Struthio camelus: one gene and its partners. The protein of the gene in region 2 interacts with the protein of the main gene of each other region in a biochemical or structural test. Links are inferred from orthologs where the notes say so. Each region holds a gene or a part of one and is shown on either strand. Other genes may lie near its edges. The genes, in order: TICRR, TOPBP1, ATRIP and RHNO1.

Region 1 (7,330 bases), on a different chromosome or scaffold from region 2:
AGAGACAAAACAAACAAGCACCTAAATCACTCTCATTACTGAGGAAATCATTAGCTTTAGTGTCCTCTGCCCCAAAATCAGATCTACAGATGATTAGAAGGAGATAAGTTTTGTATTTCCCAGTGCCTACCAGAACTAGCCAGAGACTCTTCCACTGATGTGTCAATCTTACTCAGCACACTACTAACAATATCCGGGAGGTGAAGGGTATGGTCTTGGGAAGAGCTCTCCACTACATCTCCTTCAAGGTTACATCGCTGAATTTCAGCTGCCTTCTCAGAACAGAATATAATCAGAACTGCAGTACTCTCAGCAAGCGGTGATAAAACAGCAGTGCAGGGGCATGAAGTTCTGGACAGAGACACCTCAGCAACCTACATAAAAAGAAAGGGATGTTTATATTACCTAGTAATACCCAGAGGCCTCAGGTAGTACACAGTTTACAAATAGGTTATAAGCTTGCTTGATTTTCTAAAGAGGGTTCTGAATTTAGACCCAAATGAGCAATCCACAATGCAACAAATACCACTATTACTGTCTTCAGAGCATGACACACAAGACTGTCATTTTTTGGTAACAGCCCATTTCAGAACAGATATTGGTTCAGGGCAAACAGAAAGACTTACCATGTGTAGTTCTTCAGTCACTAGAGTCCTTAAAAGCTGATGAAACAGTGACCTGTTTTGTTCCGCTTGTTCAGCCTGGGAGCTCCGCAATATCCAGCTCTCTGTGAGAAAGTTGCTAGCCTGCATCAAATTCCAACCTGTCAGGGTACCTTTCAGGAAGATATTGACTGGATGCTGTGCTTGTCTTTGGCTCATGGCTAGGGGTTCCAGAATCACCACACAGCTTTCCTGCTTCTCTTCTCCTATGTAAGGTTAAAAAAAAATTCTATAACACGCAAAACAATTTTCATCTGAATGAAGAGACAACTTCAATGCAAGAAAAATAAATTCTGAGATTAAACTGAGAGTAGCTCTGCAGTAAATGTATTACACAACTGACCTCCCCGAGCTCTCATAAAGGAGCCAAGTGCATTAAGGGACCACCAAAGAAAGAGACAACATGCACTGCATGCTCCTTTACAGCTGATCTAATCACTTTTGAAGGTGTTTGTCATTTACCTGTTTAAATGAAGTGAATTAAAGTAGCTGAGATAAAGCATATAGAAGAAAACAGCATACACTAAGCTGGGATCAACAGAGAACTGTTCATACAACCAGACTTCTGAGAAAAATGGAAAACTGAAGAGATCAAGTCTGGAATATGGGCCAATAGCTCTCCTAGGAGAGGCACTGCAGCACATTCAGGACTTTTATTTTTTTTTTAAATATACACTTAGGCTCTTAAATATCTCAAGTTACCTCTATGCATACTGTTCACAAGGGAAACACATCAGGATCCTGCATGAGAAATCAGAGTTATTTCTATGCATGCCTAACTACCGCTTTTTATTACCATGCATGCTGAGAAACAATGTCCCTTCTTGCTGGGGGAATACTGCTTGGAAGGCAGAGGCCTTTGAAAACAAGAAGTTCAAGGTGGAGTCCAAGGGCAGAAGCGCAGTCCATGGCACGAACTGTGACACAGAGGAACTGGAATCTCTAAGAAAGCGAGCACGATCTGCTCCGTGATGACTCAAACATTGCAGTAAGATCTCTGACGACAAAATGGTGCCTCCCGTCTGGTGGATCAGTTCAAACATCGTCCAGTATCCAACATGATCTGGAGATTCAAGTAACTGCAATAAAGCAGCAGACAGGTCTCAAGTTAATTTCGGCAGTGAACTCTATCCAAACAACGAATATAGATTACAGGCCTGTATAGGAACCGGCATATGAAATGCATATAAAGCAATTCAAACATTTACCAAGTGTTTTTATGGACTAAAGTAGCCCTCATAGGAACACAGAAAGGAAAATACCATGCCCATTGAATTAAGAGGTAGCCAGTATCTTCAAGCACAGATTCCTGAATTTAGTATCTAGATAACTGAACTGCCAGTCTGCTTATTCACAGTCCTGAACAGCTATAACTCCTACCTAACTCAAAGCACAAGACAACCCTTTAGTAAACACTTTGCAGTCAGTCAGTCGCTGATATATCTTAATCCCTACAGGGATAACTACCGTTCCAGTTGTTGGCCTCTTGCTAAACAGGATTACTTGGTAGTTATTGGAGACCCTGACCTCTCTTCTTTCCACTTGAAGATTACAGCATAAAACTGCAAACTCTCCCTTCTTAAGTGGGAAGTAATTGAGGAAGACAGTTCACTATCACCAGCAATGCAAAGGTATGCAGCATTCTCCGATTACCTTAGACCACTCGGCAGTGTCCACCCAGTACAGCGTGATCTTCTGGTCTGCAATCAGCTCCTGGACTCTCTTGGGCAAGAGTTTCTCAGCCAGCTCCTGAGCCGTGGGCGGCTCACAAGGGGAAGGGGCGTCGCTGCCAGACACGAACTGCCGCAGCTCCCTCCGGGAGTGGGGGCAGGGGGAGAAGAGGAAGACGGCGTTCACGAAGCCCTCGGGGGGCGGCAGGCTCTCGGGGGGCTCGGCGGCGGCCAGCCCCGTCCTGCGGCTCCGGCGCAGGGGCTTGGCGGGGGAGGCGATCTCGGGGCGGTCCCACTGGTAATCGAGGAGCGTCTCCTTGAGGCCGTTGTGGGTGAGGGCGGCGCGCGGCGCCGGGCCGGGCAAGGCGGCGCCGGGCCCCCGCGCCCCGAGCCGCGCCGCCAGCTCCTCCTCGAAGCGGGCCCAAGCGCGGGGCCCCGGCGGGCGGAAGCCGCCGCCGCCCCGCGAGGCCCCGCCGCGGCCCCCCAGCGAGTCGAAGAACCTGAAGGCCCAGCGGAGGCGGGACAGGCCGAGGCGGCAGCCCAGGTGGTTGAGGAGCCGCAGGGCGCCGAGCTGGATCCGCTCCCGCCGCGCCGGGCTGGCCGTGTCCAGCAGGAACACCACGCTGTGGGAGCACGACATGGCGGCCGGCCGCCCCCCTCCCCCCCGCCGCCAACGGCCGCCTCACAGCGGCGCCCCGCCGCGCGCCAGCCCAACAGCTGCCCGCCACCGCCGCGCGCCGCTCAGAGCCCGCCCGCCGCCATCGCCGCCCGCCCGCTCCGACTGCTGGCGCGCTCGACCGCCTCGCGCCCTCATTGGCTCGCACCTCGCGGCCCGCCCCCTCCCGCGCCGCTCCCCATTGGCCCGCCGCCCCGCCCGCGCTGGCGCCCGCAGGGGAAAGCTCGGGCAAAAGGGCGGGGCGGCGCTGGCTTTCCGGGCGGTGCTCTTCGATGATTGGCCGGACCCCGTGTGGGAGGGGAGCGCGACGTTCCATGACGCGCGGAGAAGGGGGCGGGGCCAGCCGCAGGAGCCAGCTGATTGGCCGCCGCTGAGAATTTAAAATTTAAAGGCGGAAGGGGGAGCGTGGCGGTGATGTCATTTCCTTGCCTCGCTCTCATTGGGCTTTAAAGATGTGACGCCACGCTGTTGTCATCGCCATCACATCAGTGTGGTAGTCAGGGTCTCCGAGCCTAATGGCGACTCCAGCGCTGCCTGTGCAGGCCTAGTCGAGCTGTAATTGAGCGCTGGTCTAGACCTGTCGAAAATGTTTGTCTCCAGTGAAAACCCCTTTCAGAATCGAGCTCCTGCAGCAGTCAGAAGCCACTTTCCTTCAGCCATAAGTGGTCTGTGGCCGGTACCGGTCCTGTCCCTTTCAGGGACGTGGAGACACCCCTCTATTCACTAGCGTGAACCCCTTGAAAAAACCGCTTGGACCTTACAGCGCTCCGGCACGTGGAGATTCCTTGCTTCTGCGGCCTGTGGATGCTCGTGGTTTTACGGCACGTCTTTCAGGTTTCGGTGGACAGACTTGTAAAAGGTGACCCTCTAGGAGCCACATAGAAAGAAGTGATACTGGAAAACCTTCTGAAGTCACAATAATTTTTTGGGAGGACCACATACATATTTTTTGGATGCTTGAAGCTTGGAGTCAGTTCAGATGATATCAAGTCAGGGATACAAAGACTATCACAACTATCTTGCAGTAGAGGTGATGTCCTTTTTCAATAATAAAAGCAAATAAAACATACTAAAGCTACCGTAATGAGATATTAAAATGCACTTCCTGGAGTGAAAGTTTGGGGGGGGGGGGGGGTGACCTCAACTCCTCAGCGGGTGAGATTACTATATGATATCTTATTAGATGTTTCTCAGTAATGAGCTTTTCTGGTTTCAGGTTGCTTTTAAAGCTTGTGGCTGTTTCTTGTTTTAAGAACTGTTCCTCAAGCCAGGGCTTGTCTGATTGCAGAGTCACATACCTTGTGTTTGCTGCTCTTTATACATATCATTCACGTCAGTATGTGTCTTCTGGATTCTGGGTTTCTTTGCATGACAGAGAAGCAATTTCTCCTTGGTTGTGCCTATATTCCTGTAGACACTCCTGAGTGGCTGAGATCAGTCACCTTCTCCTAGGTGATGTGATTCATCGTGACCAGCAGCCCCAATCCTAGCAGTTATGTACCAAAAATCATCCTGTGGCTGAACCAATTCCCTTCCCCTACAAGCAGGTTAAGGCACAAGGCGCAGAGGCCTGGAGTGGCCCTGCAGTGGGCAGTGCAGGTCTGACAGGGATCCATAGCTCTGGGTTTGTGCTGGCCAGGCTGGGCCCAAGCCAGCTCCATGCTCTGGAACTGGAGCATGATGCTGAGATACGCTGACTGCTCATGAATCCAGGTTCTGCTTGCCACTAGAGGTCAATACTGGTACAAAAACTGGTCCTCTGCAGCTTCCATCAAGCTTCCCACCTGGAGCTGCACAGAGGATGCTGGCTATTGGTAGGCTGCTGAGCAGCTCCCCTCCTTGCTTGAGACCAAGTGGAGAGGACAAGAGACTAGGTATGGCAGGAGCCCTGCCCAGCTCCCCTGAAAGTCCTACAGACCCAGGCTGGTACAGGCAGGCCATTCCTAGGCAGAGATGCCACTCCAGAGCTTTTCCTCATATTTGAGCCTGCCCAGGGAATACTGAGGCCAACACAAGGTCCACACTGGGGCAACGCAACCATCCGTCTAGCTCAGGATCCCAGCTAAGAGAGCAGTTGGTTCATGAGAAGAGATGCTTGTCTAAGTTTAACTTCCCACTCCAGCAGTCTGTTCTTCAGAGACTGCTTGAGCCAGACATTGTGCCCCTTTCTTACATAAAATGTCCTGATGGACCTTTCTTTACCTAACCTGCTTTTGGAATCAGTACATCTCCTGCTAACCTGAGGTAGCTGAGAACATGAGGTGAGAGAAAGTGAGACCTAGACACCAGGACCCAGAAAGGGAGCATGACAAGAAAGCAGAGGAGCAGGGCTCTCGAGGGCGTCGGAGAGGAGCAGAGTGGGGGGCACAGCTACCAGCTGAAGAAAGCCACAGCAGGGGCAGCACTAGCTGGAGCTGGAAGAAACAAAACACACACGAGATGGGGTGACTGGGGCCAGCTGGAAGCTGGGTGAATAGAGACGACAGAGGAGTGTGAGGAGGGAATGGAAATCAATATGAAAGGAGAGGGTAGAGCTTCTGGAATCAGGGCTGGATGAAAAGGAGTAGGGTTGGAGTGTGTGTACAGGGGGCTGAAGTCAGGGTGAGGACAGAAGAAACATGTGTTTTGTTCAGCTAGCTTGCCCCCTAGACGTGGCCCACTTGTGGGTCTTGGAACACATCTTGCCCTGTGGGTATTTAGCAGTCTGGGTGTGACCCAAATGTTGATGGATCACACTGAGAAAACAAGAGAAAGCCCTGCAGACCAGAGCTGTCCAGATACCTACGCCACCCTTCTCTACGGAGCTTGAATGCCCCAGCATAAACTAGTGTCACCAGCAGCCAGTCGTATTTATAAAGCAACAAAGATAAGTGGGCAATAAAGTGGCCATTCGGATTTATTAGGAACTGTGAGCGCAAACAGATTTAATGGGCTAGAACTAGGGGCTGATCCGCTCAAGTAAGTAGGAGAAACTTGCCACCCAAGAGCAAGGGAAGGACACCGGGTCTCCCTGGCTAAAAGGGGTGGTGGGGAATCTGCGGTTTGAATGACACTGACTCTTCAGGGAGCCCTGGTGTGACAGGAGGGACTGGGCTGCGTCTACAACCAATCGATAGACTCTATTAGACCTTGCATAGTATAGATATGTAGGTGTGGGGTCGATGCAAAAGGCCCAACCTCAACAAAGGACTGTGAACGAAGGCATCTCAGTTCAGTCCTGTTTCTACCACTCCTTTGCTGGACCTGATTCTTTCTTGTGCTCCACACCCTGCAAGGCAGGTGTAAAATACTGCAGATCAGATTAGTGCCCTTGCACACTTTGTTATGGTGTAAATAACTGCCTGAAAAAATGGGGTCCTACTGTGTCGCTGCTTCTCTCTGTACTGCAGGTTACTCCTCGGTGGAAATGGGAGGAAACAACAAGGGGAGAAGATCACGTCCTGACTCTGTTCCTTCATACGCTAACTGTTCTGATGTGCTATTTCTGATCCTGGCTCCTGTAGTCCCTCCAGGTAAACAACGTATCACAATCAACATCATATCATTCAAGTCATTCTGGTGAGATCTCTCTGGGTATACTTGCCCTCTTCCCTCTTGATCTTTGAATCAGAGAGGAGCAAAACCCTGCCTGTGTGCAGTCCTTTTTGTGGGTGGATACAGTGCTGCAGCCCCAGTCCTGTTTCATGTTGGGGTGAACGTCAGAGGAGAGCTCTGTCCTGGCCAAAGACCTGCTGAGCGGGAGGAAGGATAGAGGCTGTAGGGTTGACAATTGGAAGGAATCAAAGCTCAGGCAGGTGCCATCAACCACTCTGAAGCTACTTATTGGTCTTTCCAGAGATAATGCTGCTCCTTCCACTGGTGGTATGTCACACCAGCCGGGAGCCATGGAGGTACTCCAGGAGTAGCCTCATTTACACAGTAACACTGCACAAAAGGGTTTGTGGGGGACAGAGCCTTGGCTCAGCCCAGCCTGGGAGCTCTCAGTGGGACCTGAAGATGAACGCTCTTGGCAGGCTGAGCCACAGGTCCTTCAGTTGCCCTGGGCCCGTCTGTCCTGTCTGAGGTGTTGCTCTTGCTGCTGCTCCTTGTAAGTAAACCCCTTAAGAGTACAAGCCCTCAAAAAGAGCTAAGCCATTCATGCTCCTGCAGCTGGCATCCATCCAGCAGCTTGCAGCCTGCGCCCTGTCCCAGTAGCCTGCAGAGGACACTTAGCAGAGTGTGACCAAAACCTGCCTTATCAGGGACTGCCTGGGAACAGAAAACAGACTCGGGACATGGGAATTTCCCAGCAAAGTGTCACTAGGAGCTGCTCTTTCCGCAAT
Region 2 (7,149 bases):
GTACACACGTCCACCCATCATCTGCACATATTTATGAACTTCTTCCTGGGTGGGAAAAGAAACTATAGAAAATCTTCAAGCAAAAAGAACCTACATCATATGCAGGCTCACCTTAAAAAACAAACAAACAGAACCCCGTCAATTTCAAATCTCTATGGTTTCTCCTAAAAATCTGTTTGGAAATCCAAAAAATCAATATTTCGGGAAGCCATTAAAAATACCAGACATTAACTCCATTTTATTCTTGATAAGCTGAATATAAAAGATACCCTTAATAAAGAGGCTACAACCATATTATATCAGTGAAAATGTACTGATGGTTGGCATTTTAGGTAGTATAAATTAGAAATAGATGTTGGAATAAATAAAAAGGAAACTTTTACAATGAAGGACGTGAATTAAACTACTTGAGATAAACCACGGCTGACTAGATATTAAATCTTTACCGTGTAGTTTGAGTAACCAGAAATAGAGTACTTTGTCTGCAGCATGACAGCCACAGACAAACTAGCAAGCTAAGTGATCCACCTAAAGATGAAGTCAGCTAATAGAATCCCTAAAACATACAATTAATCCTACAGTAGCAAGACTAATGTCTTACAATTTTATATGCATTCTTATGTAACATAAATGTACATATACACACTACAAAGACATGTATACATACCATATATATAGTAAGCCTATATACAAAAATTTACACACCATCTACAGAGCCTATATATAAAAACAGGCAGACTTTTACGTTATATAGTAAGACTATTGGCTTAGCAATAAGCCATCTGAAGCAAATGTCACAGAAAAATTAGCTGAACAACCATTATGGGCCATTACCCTAACATCTTTTTCAAGGCTGGTACAGGATACTGTTACATCGGCCATGGTCATGTTATACACAGGATATTCAGCTCTTGGGACGCATCGCTGGGACTGCATACAATATAGGACTGCCTGTGGTCCAACAATTCTACAACCGAGCTGCGGTAAAATCAAAGAAAAAACAAAGATTAGCAGAAAGACACACCGGTATAAACAAAGCTTTCCTTGTCCCAGAACACTGGGGAAGGAGAGGTCATTGTCTGCCCTCCTTTAGCAGCTCCAAGTAGTTGAACATTTTTTTTCATTTTCTGATGCAGATTCTCAGTACCATCCTCTCACGTTTTCTGGCCTTGGTTAAGGCAGTGGATGCTACAGCTGACATGCCACAGAATTCTCGCGAGCCTAGCTTTGTCTGCTGGCATTATTTCTTGGAGGTCAAACAAAATTACATTACTGGGGGAAGCAAAAAAACGCGAGAGCCAGCTCACTGACTACAGCAGAATCAGAACTGATCACTGTATTTATTTTTCCATTTGCTTCAAGATGATTGTTACGCTTTGTCAGCCCTCCTCTTCCCTAAATACAAATGCATTGGAATTTTTACTATGGACTACTATATTCAGTAAAGAAAGAGAAAACATGCAGAGTATAATTATCGACATGAGCATTCCTACAAAAGACAGAGTATTCCTACAAAAGAGAGTATAGTTAAAAGTAAATTGATGAGTAGCAGACCTTTTTGAGATGACTGAAAACAACGCCTCTAAAAGGATCGCAAATGTAAAGGGATTTATCATTTTCGTTTATACTGAGCGCTGCTTCTTCTTCAAGGATCTGCAGATGTTCTTCTGACTGAAATTCTTTTATGGACTGCAGGAAAACAGTGCACACAATTACACTTATTTAATTCACAAATCACAAACAGTTAAACCTGTGGAAACTACAAAAGCTTGTCTACTTAAAAGAGCTTACAACAAAACTATATAAGAGCATATTAGTAGAAAAGAAGGCTAAAGATATCTCCTGTTTTTTTTTCCCCAATTCTTCACAATATTCAGAACTATATGTTCAGCACACAAACCTTCAGGACCTCATCCTGCCAGACAGTGCCTTTAACTCCCACTAACCTCCAGGAGGAGGAGAAAAATGAACTGTCCTTACTAAATCTTCAGTAGTCTGGATGAGTGACCACCATTTGGATTTGCCAAGCTTCCAGTTTACTTCATTAAACGTTAAGAGGTTTTCAGAGGAGGCTAAAACCGTTTATTCACTCCTCCCTCCCCTTACTCCCTCCTCCCCTCCAAGAGAAATAGTACTTCCCATGGTACTATTTGCTGTACTGGACAGTTGCTCTTTGCAGAGCTGATCTCCAAATTTTAGGCTCCTCAGTACCTTTAGCAAGACATTAGGCCCACAGAATCCCTCTTCTGTGAGAATCTACAAGATGTAGAAGAGTTTTCTGAATGGAACTATCACATTACAAGTAATAAATAAACACAATGAAAAAGAATTGCTTCTTGATCTAGGAATAATCATGCAAAACAAACTTTAATAACAACACTGAGCATCTCTATCACTGAAATGTGTTATCTACAGATGCGTACAAACGCACTACATCCCGAGACAACCACAGAAGACGCTTACATAGAAAATAAATACGGCAACCTCACTGAGAAAGGTCATCAAACCCACCTACCTCAAGAGCTTTAAAAAAAAACTCCGAGTTTCCAGAAGACTTTATGAACTTCACAAAGAACGGCTCCTTACTACCTTTCATCCTTTAACTGGAAAGCAAAACCACACAGGTTTCATGACTCTGCCACCTTCGTCCGGAGAGACACCTAACGCCTGCAGCCAGCAGCCGCCAACACCTTCCCCACCCCCGCCGCAGGAGCTGCGCAAACCGCCTCGGCCCGGCCCCGCACCGCGGCCCGGCCCCGCACCGCCCAGCCTCGGCAGCGCCACCAACCTCCGCAGGGGGCAGCCCCTTCCCCACAGAGCCTCCCCTCCCCCGCCTCACGCAGGCCACTGGCACTACCGCCGCCCCAAGCGCTCCCCGAAGGCCGGCTCGCTCGGCGCTGCCGCCCCGCCGTTGCGGGCCGCCGCCGCCGCCCGTCACCCACCCCGGGCCGCCTGCGCGGCTGGCGGGAAGCGCCGAGCCCCGCACCGCGCAGGCGCAACATGGAGCCCGGGCGGGGCGGCGGGGGGGTGGAGGCGCACGCGCCGCCGGAGGGGAGGAGCGGCGGCGGCCGTTGCGCGGCGTCACGTGCCCACGCGGGCCGGCCGTTGGTGGTGTTGCCGGACGGGCGCGGGTGTGGGCTGTGTCGCCGCCGCCGCCCTGTGGCGGCTGAGGGGAGGGGGCCGGCTGCCTCGCGCGCCCCGCGCCGTGGCGGCCCCGCCGCCCCCACTGGCGCCGCGGAGGGGCAGCGCCCCCGCTGGCCCTTGGGGTTGCTGAGGCGCTGCCCGGCTCCCGCTGCCTGGCCTCTGTGGAGGGCCGCAGCCTCGGCCTCTGCCGGCCCCGCAGCCTGGTTGTTTATCCGTGCTGTCTAGCCAAGGAGCGCTCTGCGCTGCTGTCCCCTCTGGTTCACGCCAGGGACAGCTGGAGGAGGCCTCTTCCCGCTGCTCGGGGAACGGTTACTGCCATAAGAGGTGGTAGCAAAGGCGGCTTCCCTAGCCCTAGCCTGGCCCATGCCTGGCATCTGCCCTCCAGAGAGGGTCAGGCCGTCACTCTGTTCGCTCTGAAAAGCCTTAGGGTGCTGGTGCTGCCACCTTGTGCTTGAGAGCGGCGGGGGAAGTACGGCAGCTGCCAGGAGGGCTGAGAAAGGTTGGAAGCGTGCTCATCCCAGTGCCATCTAAGTTGTGCTTCCGGGGGAAAGAGCGTAGAGAGGGTGTTCTGTTTCGTTCCTGTGACTTCCAAGCTATGCATAGGAATTTGAGGTGCACGCCTTCTGGAGCAGAGGACAGCATGAGCATGTGGAAAACTTGTTCAGAAGCTAATCGAGCTTCACTCCTCCCGTATCGTTCTGTATTGTTCTCCCGTATCTTTCAACTGCCTGAATCATCAGAAGCTGGCAATGCCCACTTCTCCGGCAGGCCGCTAGTCCTAGGTGCTCTGAGTGTTTTCTAAGGCTTGCTGCTGTCTGTGTAATATTCATGCTGCCTGTAGTGGAGGAAGTCATTTCGATAGAAGAGCATCTTGAGAAGAAAAAAGTTTTGGGAGAGGAAGAACACCAAAACCACTGATGAAAGCGAGTCTTTTAAGTGGCAGTATGAAACCTTACAGTGTGGCCACATGATGGCACCGTAATGTTAAAAACTGAAGGGACTCTGAGTAAGCGTGTGTGCAAGTCTAATTGTTGGAGGTTATCTCTTCAGTGCCTTGGGATAGATACTAAACATCTTTAAAACTCTTTCCTATGCTTATGTATTTTAAAACACTTAGTATTCATCCTCTTAGGGTCAGAGTGAGTTATGGGCTAAACCTCTTCCGTGTGTAAAAATAAACAAAAACAAGTGTAGTATCAACCAAAATAGGCTATTTAATAGACAACTAGTGACAAGCAGTTAAGCACAGGGATCATGTCTTGATGGTCATGTGTTATCTGATGATGTTGGTTCTTTGTCCAGTTGTTAAACTCTCATTTTTTTCTGCCTGCTTTTTCAGCATTATAGCAACCTGCTATAAAGAGGAATTTCTTCTTTCTTTTTTAATTCTATTGGGCTATCAAAAAGAAGAGGGCAGAGGGGAAGAGAGAGGATCAAGAAATCTAACACACAAAAGTCAACCAACTTTAATGGATTGTATAATACAAAATATTATTACAGTCTGTTGGCAGAGTCCTTAATTCAATGTACCAGCAGTGTTACTGAGCACTTATTTGATATGTCCCCTCGAAGCATGGTTCCCTGCTTACTACAGTGAGCAGCTTGTTCTCGCTTGCTGAAGCATGGTCCCTTCTCAGTGAAGTGAAGTAATAGAAACTCTTGAGAGCTGCTCGTTCACCGCTGATCCACTGGACCACAAAACTCTCAAAGTTCCAACTTTGCCTCTTGGAAGTTGCTTGTCACTTGGAAAGATTCTTGCTATAGGAGATAATACTGCAAAGGATCAGGGCTCTTCTTTGATACACCTCTCAAAAAAGCATGCCCCTCTCCTCTTCCGTGTTTGATTGTCCTTTTCTTCTGCAGGGATGGTTATGTACTGTGTATGGCACTGAAACCTAGAAAATAATTTCTTAAAGGCAGTGTGCCTTGGGGTCCAAATGAATGATTTTGTCGAGAACAGAATAAATCACAAAAAGATTTTCATAAATGTGATCTAGAAGAAAAAAAAAAGCCAGCCTGACAAAAGTTACTGCATGTAGCTTCCTATCCCTTTAAAAATGAAATGCATATATTTTGCATTTTATGCTGAAATTACCTGATTTCTACTTATAGTGATATAGTTACCTGTTTTAAAAGCATATACAAAGTCCAGAAGGTGACTGATGCAACAATGCCTTAAAAAAGGATGTGCATCTCTAACGACTGTGAATTAGAAGACATAGTATAATTTTCTTATACTTCCCATGTGGATGTAGTCCAAAAGTGGTGCTTAATACGATAGAATAACTTGAAACAAGTGGTCTGATGAGCAAAGATTTCCCTATTGCACTTCCTGTTTTCACAAGCACTTAGCAGTGTAAGATTTCTTTGGGGCTGTTGGAAACATTTGCTTATTTGGAAATATTATCTAAAAGGATATTTAGAGGAGCTGGGAAACAGAAATAACCCTACCAGATAAGAACAGCAATCAGAACATTGTTTTTTTATATTTCTATTTCCAGAGTTGGCCAAAACCAAGTGTCTTAGGGGAAATGTAACAAACACTAGGAAGGACAGTTTGGCATGAATCAAGTAATCGTGCAGATAAGGTATGACCTTAAGCACGTTAGTATCCCCATTCTTCAATTTTTCTGTGTGTTCAAGTGCTCTGCAGGATCTGACCTTTAGCAAAAGCCCAGTCATAGATGGCCGTCAATCTTACTAATTAAGAAAGCTTTTATTATCTTTAAAACTACCAAATGGCATAAAAATGGTCGTATCATTTTTGGTAGCCCCCAAATGATACCTACTTGTAAAACCAGGAAGTGCCCCTTGACTTTGTGGATCAGTGAATTCTTTCACTTGTTCCTATGTTTTGATAACTTAAAAATTCATGGCATATGCTTATCTCTGTAAACATCTGGGTCAACCCTATTTAGAAAACGTTTCCACACCTCTAATGCTGTTGTGTTTTTGCAGCCACTACCACTGCATTAATTTCATATTTTAAGTTTTTCCCTATAACTATGCTGGTTAGCAAAATGGCAAAAAAATCACTGCACTGAAAAAAACAAAACCCTATTGACTGATAGTACACATTTGATCTACCCTAGTTAAAGCTCCATGTGTAATACTGTAATGTTTAAATGTTGCAAACACATTGCTTTGCTGATCAACGTTAGTCCATTGTATATTTGATTAGCTTTTCAATATGAGTAACATATAAAACAGCAATTGATTGAGAGAGCCTCCTGAAATACCCAAACTCTTGAGTAACTTAGGTATTGACATCGAATAGTTAAGACTAACATGAGAAAAGACCCAAAATATTGGTACTTGACTGTACACAATGAAACAATACCTTGAAATATTAGAAGCTCTTTTAAATATATAACATTTTCCCTTATCCCTTCTAAAGATTCTATATCACAGACCTCCATAATTTAGCGTTATCTGCACAAGTACACAATTAGGCTGGTAAAGCGTGGAGCTGACACTGAGTTTAAATGAGTGAGATATCTTGTGTAAGGTCCAGTCAAGAGATGTTTCCAAAGAACCAGTATCGATTTCTAACCTCCTTTTGAATTAATTCAAAAATTCTGTGTATGAGCCTGCTAGCTTAGTGTACAGAGAAAGCCTCCAGTCTTTGGGAGTTTTAGGTCCTTCAGGATAAAGCTATGCTTTTACTTTCACAAAAAAAGAGAATACTTCTTTCCTTGCAGAATCCTACATTTGCATATCCAGCTAGCTAATTTGATCCATCCTTTTCATTTATGTACAAATACCCATATGAATGAACAAGTACAAGGTTTGGTAGGCGTATGTGCCGTGTTCTTCTGTGGCCACCTTAGAGACAATATCCAGACAACAGCTTTCGAGGCTTCTTTCACAGAACTGATTTCACAAAAGTTAATTCCACTTTTTCACTAGACACAGTTTACAATGCAGCAGAAACTTCTTGCTCTCCAGTGGACTGTGTGTAGGTGGAGCTAGCCCGTTCAGCTGTGTCAGCATAGAAAACTGGAC
Region 3 (7,618 bases), on a different chromosome or scaffold from region 2:
ATGGCCTGTGACATCATTGAAGTCATAAAACTACCGTCTGCATGTGATGTACAGATAACTAATACAATTACAAACCTTTCTGGAGAACTCTTTTTCTTTTTCACTTAGGGTCTGAGATTTTTCCTGTTCTAATAGCATATATGATTTTTTCTGTTCCTCCATAGCACACTCCATCTGCAGCATTGAGTCTCGCAAAATTTTAATTTCTCCATTTTTAGTACGAATTTCATCTTGCATTTCTTTCAGCTGCAAACAGATGAATTCCATTAGATCATGTCTATAAGCAGAAGTATGGATGTGTATCATCATCTCTGTGGTTGAAAGTTAAGCGTATTTATACTTTCTACAGAGAAAACACTTCCATAACCTAGTCCAGACATTCTGCAGTGTTGCTTCTAATCTGTTTCTGAATAAATCAGGCTCAACTACTGTTTTCTCTAATTGAATTATAAAATGACAGCAAAGGTATATGTTCCTATACCATCCTGACTGGTGTCTGAGAGCGTTCTCCTCCTCCTCCGCGACTAAACTCTTTCTTTGAAAAGTACTCTAGTCACGCAACAATCTATTTACTGTTTGGATGAGAACGATGATAAACTAACTATAATATCTCATCTAAAATGGCACCCAAAAAGCATGCTGTCCTAAGACAAACTACCGCCCCCAGACAGTATCTTCATGACATGCATGCTCTCCAATATTGTCTGAATAGACATCATCGCTCAGAAAAAGGACTAGAATAGAGGCAGCTATTCAGAAAAGCACGAAGAACAATGAAGACAGATACATTTAACCACAATATAAAAACATGTTTTACCCCTATATTGAACATGGTGTGCAGATAGGATCTTCCCCAATAAAGAAGGATATAAAAGAAACTGGAAAAGATTCAGAAAACTGAGGCAAGGATGACGAAAGTAGAAACCTTCTGTCTAGGAGAAGACACAATTGTGAAGAAACAAAGGTCTATCAAAGTGCGAGCGCTACACAAAAGTTATTCCTTGTTCACTGCCTCTCATAATAGCCAAGATACATCCACTGAAAATCACTAGGTGTGAACTTCAAAATAAAATCAAAGGAGAAATTTCCTGACACAACACGTTGTTAGGCTGCAGACCTCTTTGACGCTAGGAGTTTCTTTGGGCTTAAAAAAAAAAAAGCACCACACAAGTGTTTTAAAAAATACACCAAAGGATACTAAACACATGTATACAACTTCTGGATCAGGTTAACTACATCTGGATAACTACATGAAATTTTACCAGAGGATAAAACAACATTCTGCTAAAATATCACTATAAACTTGCTCAGGTCTTCTATTCTTCCTAAGCTGTCTGCCAAAGAAAGGATGGAGCTGGTATGGCTACTTGTATGTTCTTACTTCTCTGCATCTATTTCTTCCCTGTAGTAGCTTTCCATGAGGCATCAGGAGGTAAAGCAACATAATGAAATTTAAGTATGACTTTCTCAAATCTTTCAGTTTCACAAAACTACTTTTGCTGACCAGCTCAATGAACAAATAGAGGAGAACAGATCTGACAGAAAACAATTAGAACTGACAAATCAGCGTATGCTAATCTGAAACAAACAAGAAATAGAATATTGCTCTCGCTCTTTACATTACTAGAGCTGGTTTTAGCACAATGCTTTTTATATATCAATGCATCATTTCAAAGATTACAAAACAACTTGATTAGAAAGAAATACTTGCAACCAAACTCATCTGGCCTTTCAATTAGCCATCTCAGAAGGATGTGATATTTGCCTTTATAGCAAGGAACCTAAAGGAGAAGAGAAGACATTGCTAACCTTTTGTTTAATTTCTTCATGCTGTGTTTGTAATACTTCAAACCGAAATGCATCTTTAATCAGATTGTCTTCTGAATTGCTTCCTGTTGCAGAAAAAATAGAAGCCTGAATGACGCACATCGCTGCTGATTTATCATCTCAAAATTTTGTTATTTGCCATCACACACACTTTTTAATATTTTGTCACTAAAAACAGTTAAATTGCACACACCTAATCATGACAGTAACTTGATTACTGCTTGTGCATGAATCTTTAAAACAGAAGGAAATCCTTCCCCTTGCAACCATTTCTAGTGTCTTAACATATGGGAATATATGCAAAACTACCACCTGACCCACGGTACCTGCAATTATTTCCTTCAAGGTAATTTAGTTATTGCAGCCTGCACGAGTAAGGGTTAGCAGATAACTTTTTGTTCTGGAGAGATTATAAATATTAGCAACGCTAACACTTACTTAGAGGATCTAAGTTCCCTCTACTGTATTTATGAACAAGGCACTGCCCTTTTTCAAAGCAAATCTGAAAATCAACTGTTAATATGAGATATATTAGGCATTTTCTAGTTAACGTTAACGGTTAGGAGTAAAAAAAAATCTGACAGCCAACATGCACGGCACTGCAAGCGGTACTCAAAGCAACAACTGCATTACCTCGGACCCAAGGCCAAGCCGGCACCAAGAGCGGACGCGGGGGAAGGCCAGCCGCCCCCATCACCACTGCATCCGCACCTCGGACCGCCCGCCCCCGCCGCCGCCCGCCCCAGACGCCCCCCAGGCGGACTGACCGGTCTCCTGGCCCGCGGCGGGGTCGCCGCCGCCCCGCCGCCTGCCCGCCGCCGGCTGCGGGCTGCCGTCACGCAGGGCAAAGGAGGCCCTCGCCCCCCGGGCGGGTTTGGGGGCGCCTGCCCCGGGCGCGGCGCCGGCCGGGCCGCCCTGCGACAGCGCCTGCGATGCAATGATGTCTATTTCCTCCAGGTCGTCGGCGGTGAAGTCGTCGTGGTCCCCGAAGGGGTCGGGCCCCGCCGCCGCCGCCGCCTCGCCGCTCTTGGGCCGCTTGTAAGGCGGGAGGCCGTTGTCCAGGCCGCCGCCGCCGCGGCCCGCCGGCCCGGGCGCCGAGCAGGGGGCGGCCCGCGCCGCGGCCGCGCCCCACAGCGCCGCGCTGCTCCTCTTCTTGCTCCCGAGCGCCGCCATGGCGGGGGCGCACGGCCGGCCCCGGCCCCGGCCCCGGCGCCTCGCGCAGGGCTTCGCCCCTCCCCCCGGCACACCGGCCGCCCCGCGCGTCCCGCGCCGCGCCGCCCGCCAATCACCGGCGGGCACGGCCGGCCCAGGACCAATGGCAGCACGCTGACGGCGCACCGGCCCTACCGCGGCCCCCGAGGGTCAAGCCAAGCCCGACCGCTCAGCGGCTGAGTGTAACCCGGCGATTGGTCCCGGCGGCGGGCGCCGTAAGCGCCTCGCTGATTGGTCGCGGGGCCGCGTGAGGCGGGCGGCCCTGCCCCGCCCCGCCCCTCCGCGGCGGCGGTTAAGGCTGCTGACGTCAGGCCGCGAGCAGGTGATGTCAGGGCAGACGGTGGGGGGAGCTGGCCTTGCGACGTCATACGGAGCGTTGCCGTGGTGTGGCAGTGAGGTCCCGCGAGGCGGTCGGGCCCCGTGTGGTGCAGCCCAGGTAGGCCACAGCGGTGCCGCTGCGGCCGGGCCGGCGGTGTCGTCGTCAGCCGCGGCTGGTGACGTCACGGCGCGGCCTGCCCGAGAGAGGCAGTGACGTCGCTGGGCGTCAGCGGCGCGCTCCTGCGCTGGCCGGGCGGCCGGCCGTTAGCCGGGCGGCCGGCTGTGTGGGGTTTCCGCCTCAGTGGCGGTGGCTGGTGTAACGGAAGAGCGGGGCCGCTGTAACGCGTGCGGAGCCGCCCGCCGCGAAGGACGGCGCTGCCGCGCTGGCCCGCGCTGGCGTCGCTGCAGAGGCGGGCGTCGGAGCGAGTTTTCGCTCGCCCTGCGGAGCCATGGGCAACCGTGCTGTTTAGTGGTCAGTCGCTTAACAGAGAAAACGGTCTCAGGAACGGGTTATTCTATTGTTTTGTTCCCCTGAGGTGGGCAAGATATTTGGAATTCACTTCTCTTTTCTCGTCGCTTTTGAGATAGTGGTGTCGGGAAAGTACAGTTTTTGCAGAAATTCTGTACAGAAAACTCGCCCTTAACTTGCTGGCGATGGTGTGCTTTTGCTGTTGTACCTTAGTCTGTTTTGACAAGCTGTATAAATGGGTTTGGAAAATATACTTTTCTGCTGATGCCAGCTGTGTGTAACTTAGGTAGGTGTGAGGTAGCAGCTATGCTGAGGAACCTTTAAGTGTAGGCTAGCACATAGTTCTGCAGCACATGTATAGAACAGGGTTAGTAATGCTTCTCAGTGTTACAAATCACTTGGTGGTCCCTAAGTGAAAAATACTGTGCTGTTAATATTGGGCACTTCTGATTCTGCAGGAGAACTCTGATTTCTCATTTTGATTTCCCTATTATTTCTCTCTATTTGCAGCAAACTGAAATTATCATCAAATTATAATTCCTTTTATGTATGTGCTGTTTTTGTGTCATCATCTGTTTAGGCAGCTTGCGATAACTTCTTAACACAAAAAGAAAGCTGTGATAAGCAGGATTCTCAGCTGTCCCCTCTCATCCCAACTTCTCTGCTGAAGTGATAGTAAAGAGAGCAGGACCCACAGGTGGTTCCTCTGAACTTAAGAGGGCAGGACAGCTGCTGCTTATCTGCAAAAAGTATACATGAAAAGGAGCAGTCTTGGAGGAAAATAGTTGTTGTGAAGATAAATTCTGTATCATTTTATTTCTGAGATATTGGTTTAAGGCCTTCTTGTTTCTGTAAGGAGTTGAGTTTTAGTAAGCTGTTTACTAAACTGGGAATATTATGGAGAGATTTAATTTTTTAAAATCATTAAGAGTATTCTTATTCACATCTGGAAACTTTTTTTTTGTACTGAGAATGTTTGCGTAATGCCTGGCTTTGAAGTCTAGCAATAAAGAAAGGTAGCTGCTGCTTTTAAGATAGGTTTTATTTGTTTGTGTTTAGTGAGAGACGCTCCTCATAGAGGAAGTAAAAACCAAAACTGCTTGCTTTATTTAAAACCTTTTCTTGCAAGGTCTAGTGACTGCTTGTCATATATGACTATGGCGACTTGTGTTAAGGACTTGATTTAAATCATGTGAAAGGAGCATGATTTATACTTAGTCTTAATGCTGTTCTTCATTTAGGTTTTCTCTGGGTAACTGAATAGGCTTATACTATTACTATTGTTTTTACTTTTAAATAACAATATATGATATTACTGATGTAGCTATTGTTTTACTTGTTCCTTTTCCTCTAGCTGAAGTTGAGGGAAAGTGGAGCAAAGAATACTTGCACGCAGTTTCTTTTCAAAAGGATGAACAAGATAATGGCTTTGCTTTTTTCTGTTCTAGGGATTCTTGCTAAAGATAAATGACACTGCAGGTGAACAGAATAACCAGAAAGGTAAGTCTGAGTTGATAGGCTAAAAAAAGCTTTGTGGAGGAGAGCTGTATGTATGGTAGTGGTAGTTCATCTACTATTCTCCGTGATGTGACTTTTCAACTTTCAAAGCCATAGAAGTCCTCTAGAAAACTGGAAAAAAAATGCATTTTTTGTTTTGTGTATGGGTGCTATTTAGAAGTTGTTTCTAATGAAAAATAAGGTATTTAAGTGGCTGCTACTAAATTGTGCTAATATAGTGTTTCCAAATTGCAGTTTAATTCTCAACTCCAGTGCTGTGTTGTTGGAGCCCCCAGTACCCTCTAAAATAGCCTGTTTATACACATGGTTGTTAGTTGAATAACTAGTGAATAACTATATTTTTTTCTTGATGAGCCCTTGTCAGTTTTTTTTTAATACTGCTGCATATAGAACTATTTTCTGGCAGGGAGATGGAAGTTGAATACTTACATGGGTGTTACTTTCTTTTGTTTTCTTTCTGTGGGATGCTTGACTTGAGTCTTAAATGTGAAACCCAGGAGAATGTTTTTTTAAAAAAACAACAACAAAAAAAAGGAAGTTGCAAGTTTAACATTGCTGTACAACTATAGCATTTTTTCCCCTTGTTACAACCAGACCTTCCTTCCTTCTTGTTTCACTTAAATGTTTCACTTGGGACTAGTGATCCCAATGCCAGACCTCTGCCTAATGAGTGTTAATCTGTTAGCAGTGTTACAACATGAATTTTTCAGTCTCTTGCCATATTTTCAGCTACTTTTCATTAGCTAGCTCAGAAAGCTTTTCTACCCTGATCTCTGCTTAACACAAAGTTAGTCTAGTTAACTTTCCAGTTAGTCAAAATCAGAGCTCGTAACATCAGTCCTAGCTTTAGTGGAACCTTGGCTGGCTGGCTGACTGCAGTAAAATAAGACTGTATATAATTTGGGAGCTGTGTTTGCCTGCATTTATATATGTAAACACAACTTGGAAAGGGGAAGCTGTTTAGTATAATCGTGAAGAAAGATAACTTAGAACTGTATAAATCCAGTCATTATTGCTGTTAACATCTTTTTTTTTAAAAAAAAGATGTTTAGTCTGAGCACCAGTAAGAGTTTCGTAACTTATTTCAATGCCAATGACATGTTTCTTTGTCCATGATTTTTTTTTAATGAATCTTGAAATAAGTCACTGTGGTCCTGTGTTTACCAGAATGCTGTCAAGGTATTGGAGGTTTTGGAGTCATGCTTATTACTTTGGAGTGTAGATATGGTATGGAAAGTCCAAATTTCCCTAATGGAAGAGATGTGATTAAGTTGGAAGTGTTTTGAATTGGTATCTTACAGAACATGCAAAATAAGCTTAGTTCCAGAGCTGGTCTTATGCCACTGATTGTTTGTTGCGCTGGAATAATATACATTTATATTTATTTTTATATAACATAAACTTGCGTAGACCAAGTGACATCTAAAGTAAGGTAGGCTTGTGCTCGCTTTCTTCTTATTGCCTTCTTGTAACTTGACTAAAGTGATCTTATCTGCTCATATGTACTGTGATATATTCCAGCTGTGCTAGGATAGCCTTACCAGTAAGTCTCCAAATGGAGAAGTGAATTGTTGTGTTCTGATTCTCAAAGCACTGACTAAAGAGTGAAGTAGTTGGATGACTGGTCATCTAGCAGAGATTAACTTAATTTCTAATGTTTGAGTCATTGAAATTCAAACTGGACAGCAGTGAAAATGTGTCCCAATTGACATCTTTATTCCAGATCTGACACTTGATTAGGAGAAGGCTAACAGCTGTGAGTGAAAGGAAAAAGAAGCACAAAAATCGATTGTCTATCTTGAAGAGGAGGTGAAATCTGAATTTCTGCTAGCATTTTTTTCTTGTGGGCTGAAAATCCCTTTAGTTAGGCTATAAAGTGGCCTACAGAATTACATTACAGCATTTATGAAGATGAAATATGATGGATAGGTTTGTCAAAAACCACTTTTTAAAATTCCAATCTGTGAAGTGGGCCTGTCGTACTAGGTCATAGTAAATGAGTTTTGGACGCACTTCTGTAGTTTTGTCACTCAGTACTCAATTCTTCAGTCTTGGTCCTGTTGCTTGCTATTACAGTAATATTGGTAGAGGAGAGGTAGGGCAGGGAGTCATAGTCATCTTACTTTTTTCTTGGTGTTACTTAATACTGCATGAATTTTCTTGTTGTCATACCATTTCTAATAGTTTTGTCAAATCAAATAGGAGTTTACTTTCTTGAGGCTTGTTTTCCATGCAATGAATAAGGGTGAAGAAGCTTTAATCGCAAATATAAAG
Region 4 (7,386 bases), on a different chromosome or scaffold from region 2:
ATGAGCTACTAACCTTGAGATGTGACTTCCTGGCTTAGAGAACATGCAAGTTATGTTTTACCAGGAGAGGAGCCTAGCAGTCAAAAGCTTATGAAAGTCTTAATATACCCTCCAGATGAGCAGAAAATCTCAGTTGCCACTGAGACAAGTTCAAAGAAGATCTGCAGAGGATGCTTCAGGAAGTTGCAAACCTACCAGCATTCTCAAATGGAATAACATCTAGTAGTTTCGGTGCTGTTGGCTTCAAATACATTTTAGAATCATTGTACATTTAGAATTGAAGTACTAAGAGTGAGTGAGTGAATCATCTTCACCACATATGTTTATATATGTAGAAATAAAATTAAAAAGGAAAAAACTGAACATGTTCTGCTCTGAAGTTAAGACACCACAAAAATAATTCTAGGTCCCCAGGGCCAGAGGAATGTCTCTCATGGGTTTGAAACCATGCTTCTTGGAGCTGCTTTGTATAGAGCTTAGAGATCCAAGTAACAATAATAGAGCTGCCCAAAGCTATAGCTGTTGTTGCATGGGAACAGTGTCCATTTTTGCAGCAGCTGTTTGCTTAAAACTCTTCACATTACACAATATAATATAAAGCGTGTATTAGGACGGTGCAAGCAATCCCTGGAATATTCTGTCAAACCAGAAAAGGAACCCATTAGAATGGCTTGTTTGGAGAGAAACTGTTCAAAACACACAGAATGGAAAAAGACGACAAGTTAGGGAACGCAGACCTGCACTCCAGGATTATTTGTTCTAAATTTAGCATAGCACCAGAATACTTAAGCCTGATTTAAATGAAAAGCCTAGTACTTTAACATCTAACATTTAGAGGTCAGGAATTATGTCAAGCAGTTAGAAGGAGGTGGAGGGGAACAGCACCTTGGAATAATGTTTTATCATGTTCAGGATTTTCAGTTGCCATATAAAGCAGAAAGTATTCTCATGAAAGTTAGTCTTTTGGAAGACAATTAGTAATAGTTGATCGGTATACACTGTACAGTTTTATGCTTTCAAATAACCAAGACATCACTGGTTGTTTGTGACAAGAACATGAAGCAACTCAAAAAGCACTTATTTATGTTTTGGACAACTATAATGAATGCAGGTCCTTGCTATTGATTTTCAGTATCTGGGACAGATAGCTTGCCTTTTTTTTTTTTTTTTTTTTTTTTTTTTTTTGAGATATGCAAGAGAATCTTGAAAACCATTTTGGCAGGACACAAAGGGAAAGATAATCTATACCAACCCAGGCAGGAGAGGTGTTTTGGTCTATAGGTTTGGTAGGAACACGTCTTGGATTCTCAGCCAAAGGTAGTGGAGATTCATAGGAATGGATAGGTCCCTCTTGCGGCCTCTCAAGGAATACCAGCTCTGCTTTCCTGGCCTTGTGGGTACATTTCTTCTTTGGAGGCATCAAGAGGTATAGTAAAACCACTTAGAAACCTCATGATGCTTGTTAGTATCAATTGGAGAAAGAGGAAGGCACCCCAAGAAGATGCTAAAGTGCTCTCAAATCTGTAGAAGGCAAATAAATGGATTTTAAGATAAGTTTGTCTGGAAACCTCAAATCTAATTTTTAACAGAAGTAAAGCCTTTATGCCACAGTACCATGTTCATATCTCTATGTAAACTCCACATTTACATCAGTAGATTTTAACCTTCTAGCTGATTTCATGTAGATTTAGCAAAAACACAATATGATAGATAATTAAAAGCCTTCCAGCTTTCTGGCTACCATGAAAGCAGGTAGCCAGATACAGTGGGAGAGCGAGACAGGCAAAAAACATAGGAATGCTCCAACTGCAAAAGGAATTCTAAACTGGCATTTTAAGCAAGACTTGGCATTATTGGGAAAATTAGTTTCTTATGGAAATATGCATTTTAGATACACAAATCAGATATCCTTATGTGAGTTTAAGGTTTTTCCTTCATTAAAAACTTTTGAAAGAAATTGATAAAGAAGGACATCAGGCCTGACTTAAACACTGAAATATAAGAACAACTGTATTCAGAACAGGCTTAGTCACTGAAATTTTAAGGAAATTCAAACCACTAAGCTGCTAGAAAAATAACAAACAAACATGAATGAATTTGTTGGACTACTGAACCAGCTCTCCAGAGGATTTAAAGAAATAATTTATTCACATAAGTATTCTATCCAGTTTAGTCATATCTGAAAAATGGTTTAGGAATTGAGAGTCCAAAAAATTTCTTTTCCTTTTTCAATTCATGAATAAAACTGCTTTGCAAGGCTGCAATCTACTAGTCTAAATTTAGGAAGGACCAGAAGCCTTTCCATTTCTAGTTGCTAGCTACCTCTATTTTTTCCATTTCAAGAATTTATTTTTTTTTTTTAACTCAGAACATAAATTGCTATTTCCCTGATGTATTCTACATATTTTGCATAGTTTTATTTACTTAGTGAAAAACTCTACATAGAATTTTAATTTGCATTCAAGAGCAGATTAGCACAGGTGAAGAAGTTTAAAGAGAACATTTTCTGAGAAATGCATTTTCTGATTAACGCATAAAAGGCTATACAACAACTTAATTCTTTAGCAGACTTTAGCAAAAGCTGTACATCCTCTTTAGTGGATTTCATACACTTCACTAACAAGGCAGTTTTAATATCTGTTGACCAACAAAACTCAGCTGCCCTTCACAAAGCACCCTTTAAGGCAAACTACTGAAGTCAGTGCTTTCTGTACAGCAGTAGGTACCAGGGCATCACACAGGGACTCACAGCCTCACAAGGACCTGATCAGGAAGAGTTTCCACCCATTCCCACGCCGGTTCCCCTTCAGACCCGCGCCGAGCACTGAGAAGGCTCCTCCAGCACCCGCTGAGCAACCATCCCGGGGGAGGGGAACCCCCACCATAGCGCCTCCATCCCGGGCCGCACCAAGAGCGAGGCCCGCCGCGGACGCAGACCCACCAACACGTAAAGCAGACACAACCACAACGCCCCGCGGACTCCCGGCACATCCGTATCCCCCGCCGCGACCGCCGATTGGCCCGCGGCGCCCCGCCCCTCGCAGGCCTGCATCTCATTGGGCCAGACTGGCACGTGATGCCAACGAGCCGCCAGGCGCCAAATTCAAACCGGGAAACGACCTGCGCCGCGAGCGGTAGCGGAGCCCGGAAGCGTCTGCGTTGCCTCTTCCCTCTACGTCTTCTTGGCTGGGAAGCTGGTGAGTGGCGATCTGTACCCAGCACCCATCGCGCCCCTCTGATATCTCCTCGTGCGGACTGGAGGTAGTGGCTGGGCACCCATGTGAGGGCTGTGTTAAGTGCTCAGGGTGCCTGGTGTGAGGGAAAGGCCTGGGCCTGGGCCTGGGCCTAGGCATGTCAGGGCGCTGGTGGAAGGGTTCTGGGGGAGGCAGCCCAGATTCACCAGTGAGTGTGGCAGGCTTGGCAGCACCCCACGGTCTGGGAGGGAAGGATGGGGGATGGAGAGGGCTGATCCTAGGGAGAAAAAAGAGCTGGGGATGTGTGTTTGGCCCTTTAGTGCTCCTCTCCTTACTGCCCCCATGGGCCTGTGCATACAACAGGGTTTCTCCAGGGCCTCTACTAGTAGCAGCTTGGGGCCTTTTTAGGAAATGACTTGCTTTTGTAGGTATTCATCCTGTTGGAAACTGGCTAAAAGTTATACGTCCATTTTTGTTTTGTGGGATCTCTGTTTAAAGGAGTGGAGCAGATTGCGAGGGGGCCTGTTGTGTACTTGGGTGACATGACCTCTGTGTAATGCTGAGTATTTCTGCTGGTGGTCTCCAGCTGCTGGGCAGCCTCTGATCCCAGGCTGTCCACTGCCAGCACACCAGGTAGCAACTCAGATTTTATCTGTTGGGCTTTTTCCCTTTTGTAGCTGTGCAAGTGATTCTTACTGAGAATTTTCTTGTTTCCTGCCTGGCTGAATCAAATCCACCAATACAGAATGACATCTTTTCTTTCTGTTTCTATTCTGCCTATGATTCCAAATGATCAATAATCAATACAATGTGCATGCTGTTGTTCTTTTATAGTTTGCCACAAGAGACAACCTCTGCCTAATTCTTGATTGGCATGATATTTGTCAGTGGTGTTCTCAAAAGGGCCACACAGCATCTTACCCTGAAATCAGTGTCTCTGAATTTGAAGTACTCCCTTGTCCTGTCCTCTTCCTGCCATTCTAAAATTTATGTGTTTTGTATGTATGTTTTTTGTCCAGAAGGTTGAAATTAAAATGGTACGCTGCTCTGAGATGAATATTTTTCTAGTTCTTAACAAGCCTACAAAAGGAATGGCCAAAGCATTTAGTCTGAATTTATTTTAAAGGACTTCTCACTTCGGGTGTGTTTATTGTGTGACTTTGTAGTGTCCAGGAGACAATCTCCAGAGAGATCTTTGCTTTCTAGATTTTATACCGTCTGTTAAATCCCCTTTTCTCTCAGGCTGTGTGATCTGATGATTACAGCAATGAGATATGAGAGTGAGGACTGTTTGTCAGTGGTGTTCTGTGATTTCTGTTTGAGCTTCTCTTCCCTCCAGCTTGCTGACTGATTCTGAATAAGTCATTTGACAACTAAGTCTTGAGGTGTAAGGCACATCTTGTATCTGTAAGGCACACAGGCATACTTTTGTCATTATTATGTACTCTATGGCTCTCAACTTCTGATGCAAATTATCTGCTTTGCAAATATCTCTCCTGTCCTGTTTATACAAGGTGTGGATAAAGGAAGTGCAGTGCTGTTTTCCAGCAGTTTTGTGAATCTTCTTAAAAGCATTCATTGTTGATTCCTTTCTTGTTTCTAGATTCATAGCAATCGCTGAGAATGTGTGTGCAGCCCCTGGTGAATTGCTGCACCTTTCCTAACTGTTCCTTCCCTTCACACTCTTACCTTGCATCCTTTGTTTTGCAGGATTTGTTCTTCTTTTCAATGGAGAGTGACTGCAGAGATCAATAATGAGCACCAGCCCTCGCAGGCCCTTAATTCTCAAAAGACGGAAACTGACCCTCCCACAGAATGATGCATCCAGTACTTCAGCAAGAGATGAGCCCAGTAGTCAGGGTAAAAAGACTCCTAAGCAGGAGTATAGCCAAGGGAACCAACACAGCAACGAACCCAGACACAAAATGGACTGTGGCCTGCAGAAATTCCCAGCAGGAATAAAGATCGTCAACCATCCTACTATGCCCAACACACAAGTGGTGGCCATCCCTACAAGTGCTGATATCCAGAGCATCATTGAGGCACTGACAGCGAAAGGAAAAGAATGTGGCAGCAATGGGCCCAACAAGTTCATTCTCATTAGCAGTGGGGGCCCCTCTCGTTCAGCAGATCCAGCAGCGTCACAGCATCTCCCATCAGAACAGAAAGCCAGTACAGCGCTCAAGGTGGCACATGGTTGGGAACGAGAGAAGAATGTTATCCAGACCCCTGGTTTGGCAGGAGGGACAGCACTCTGGCACTCAGGAATTGACTCCGTGGTCGGGCAGGAACAGGAAGGCAACGGTATGTAGTCTTTACTCTTTTCTTGTCCTGCCATGTAGAGAGTGAGACCTGAAGCGTGCCAATGAGTGTAGTGTCCAATTATCAGGATGCAATAGTGAAAACTATTCAGTTAACTACAAAATAATTGATATGCATTAGCTATTTGTATGTAGTGAATCCTGAAGGATCTTAATGGATATATTTTTGTACAAGAGACAGGCCTGGCGTACCAAGGTGCATATAGTAGAGCAAAATTTTAGTGCTGGGGAAGAAAGAGGATTCGGTTTGAGGAAATCAAGACTAGAAGAACAAAATGCTAAGTTCCATTTAGCAAAAGGTTTATGGCTGGAATCAAGACTAGCATAGAGCATTCTAATCAGCAACAAAACACAGGGGCCTAGAGCTCTGAAGCAGAGATGATTTCCCTTCCTTTAATAACTGTGTGGCAAGTCTCTTTCCTTCTTGGCTTTTTCATGAAACTTCAGGGCAAATGCTAGAAGTGGGATGGATTTTGAGTGGCTGCTCAGATCAAATGTGTGTTTACAACTTAAAAAAAACAAAAGCTTTGCTGCTTTGGGGCTGTAACAAATCTTATCCCATGGTATAGTACTGTCTACCATTACACATAGGCAGCTCCAGTAACTATATTGCTACAAATAGCCTCACCAGAAACAGTAAGACCATATCTGTTAGTTTTCATCACTGCTGCTCAAAAATCTGCAGATATCTGAGCTTATGCTACCACGTTTCTTGGCCTCTGCCTATCAGATTTATCCTTTAGCTAAAAATACTTGAATTTTCAAAGTACTTCAGTCAACATTGTCCTATTTTTGGTTGAGAGCAATAGTTTGGTTTCAGTGGGGATTTTAGGACTGCAGCTTTTTTTCAGGAATTGGGCAGATTCACATGAAATCAAGAATTTAAGATATCTCCACAAGATACTATCTTTGCAATACTGTCTTGTCCCTATCCTGAGACAGAGATACCTTTTTGGGAAGAGTGGCCAGGCCTTCCTTTTGGCACTTGGGATTAAAGGGGAAGAGTGTTACTCATGAGTAAACAGAGCTATGGGCTTGTTATCCCAACAGGCAGCAGTGAGGCAGCTAGCTCTATATTGGATAATAGTCTCACTAACATCCAATGGCTGGGGAAGATGAGATCTGATGGACTAAGCCCATGTTCCGTGAAGCAGGAAACAGAGAAAGAGAACCGAATACCTCTGCAGGAAAGAATCAAGGTAAGCAGGAGGAGACAACAGAGCATACACTAAAACTATTGATAGGGAAGCAATGCATGTGGATTAGAAGACTTGAAAGAACCAGGCATGACCATCTCTAAGTAACCTGAGATTCCCCTTTACTGATTTGAATAGCAGGACCTGGAGGATCCATGGGTGTTCCATGGCCCTTCTCCTTGGCTTTGCAAGCCCTCATATATTGTTCCTTCTGTCTCTCAGACTGAAGAAGATTCTGCTGCTACCGTTCCTACTTCCTCCTCTTCCTCCTCCTCCTCCTCCTCCTGGCAGGATTCAGTATCAGAACGACCCCCTTACTCCTACATGGCCATGATCCAGTTTGCCATCAACAGCACTGAGAAGAAGCGTATGACTCTGAAGGACATCTATACCTGGATTGAGGATCACTTCCCTTATTTTAAACATGTGGCTAAGCCAGGTTGGAAGGTAACATGCAGACCCTCAAGTTGCTGTGGGCCACAGGGTGATAATATCATAAGGCTTTTGGATGAAAATGAAAAGTCGTTCCGCAGCCTGCAGAGCATAATGGAAATTAATTTAAACACCTCCCACCCCAAATGCCCTCTCATTCCAGATGTCCGTGTTCCACTTCCAATATCCTTTTTTCTCATGCCACATAGGAAAGGTGGTGGGATGCTTGATCACTGAAGTAAG

What was found.
Region 1: the proteins of TOPBP1 (region 2) and TICRR form a complex in vitro, tested with the Homo sapiens proteins (2 studies listed by BioGRID). The link is inferred for Struthio camelus from reciprocal best matches to the Homo sapiens genes TOPBP1 and TICRR.
Region 3: the proteins of TOPBP1 (region 2) and ATRIP form a complex in vitro, tested with the Homo sapiens proteins (2 studies listed by BioGRID). The link is inferred for Struthio camelus from reciprocal best matches to the Homo sapiens genes TOPBP1 and ATRIP.
Region 4: the proteins of TOPBP1 (region 2) and RHNO1 form a complex in vitro, tested with the Homo sapiens proteins (2 studies listed by BioGRID). The link is inferred for Struthio camelus from reciprocal best matches to the Homo sapiens genes TOPBP1 and RHNO1.

What each region holds. Positions count from the first base shown.
Region 1 is NC_090953.1:9,976,133-9,983,462, reverse strand, and holds the start of TICRR (treslin), read right to left. Parts: upstream 3,007-7,330; 5' UTR 2,973-3,006; coding exon 2,316-2,972; intron 1,742-2,315; coding exon 1,459-1,741; intron 869-1,458; coding exon 627-868; intron 375-626; coding exon 131-374; intron 1-130.
Region 2 is NC_090943.1:50,368,639-50,375,787, forward strand, and holds the start of TOPBP1 (DNA topoisomerase 2-binding protein 1), read right to left. Parts: upstream 3,016-7,149; 5' UTR 2,943-3,015; exon of another isoform or gene 2,789-2,942; intron 2,604-2,788; 5' UTR 2,597-2,603; coding exon 2,516-2,596; intron 1,690-2,515; coding exon 1,555-1,689; intron 979-1,554; coding exon 835-978; intron 46-834; coding exon 1-45. Other genes in the region: C-C chemokine receptor type 5, read right to left, coding at 7,061-7,149. UniProt on the Homo sapiens protein: Scaffold protein that acts as a key protein-protein adapter in DNA replication and DNA repair. Composed of multiple BRCT domains, which specifically recognize and bind phosphorylated proteins, bringing proteins together into functional combinations.
Region 3 is NC_090955.1:22,012,208-22,019,825, reverse strand, and holds the start of ATRIP (ATR-interacting protein), read right to left. Parts: upstream 3,001-7,618; coding exon 2,595-3,000; intron 1,893-2,594; coding exon 1,810-1,892; intron 247-1,809; coding exon 76-246; intron 1-75. Other genes in the region: protein BTG1-like, read left to right, coding at 3,365-3,475, 5,275-5,326. UniProt on the Homo sapiens protein: Required for checkpoint signaling after DNA damage. Required for ATR expression, possibly by stabilizing the protein.
Region 4 is NC_090942.1:88,361,074-88,368,459, forward strand, and holds the start of RHNO1 (RAD9, HUS1, RAD1-interacting nuclear orphan protein 1), read right to left. Parts: upstream 3,007-7,386; 5' UTR 2,942-3,006; exon of another isoform or gene 2,750-2,941; intron 1,522-2,749; 5' UTR 1,421-1,521; coding exon 1,253-1,420; intron 364-1,252; exon of another isoform or gene 1-363. Other genes in the region: FOXM1 (forkhead box protein M1), read left to right, coding at 4,949-5,498, 6,566-6,714, 6,934-7,158. UniProt on the Homo sapiens protein: Involved in microhomology-mediated end-joining (MMEJ) DNA repair by promoting recruitment of polymerase theta (POLQ) to DNA damage sites during mitosis.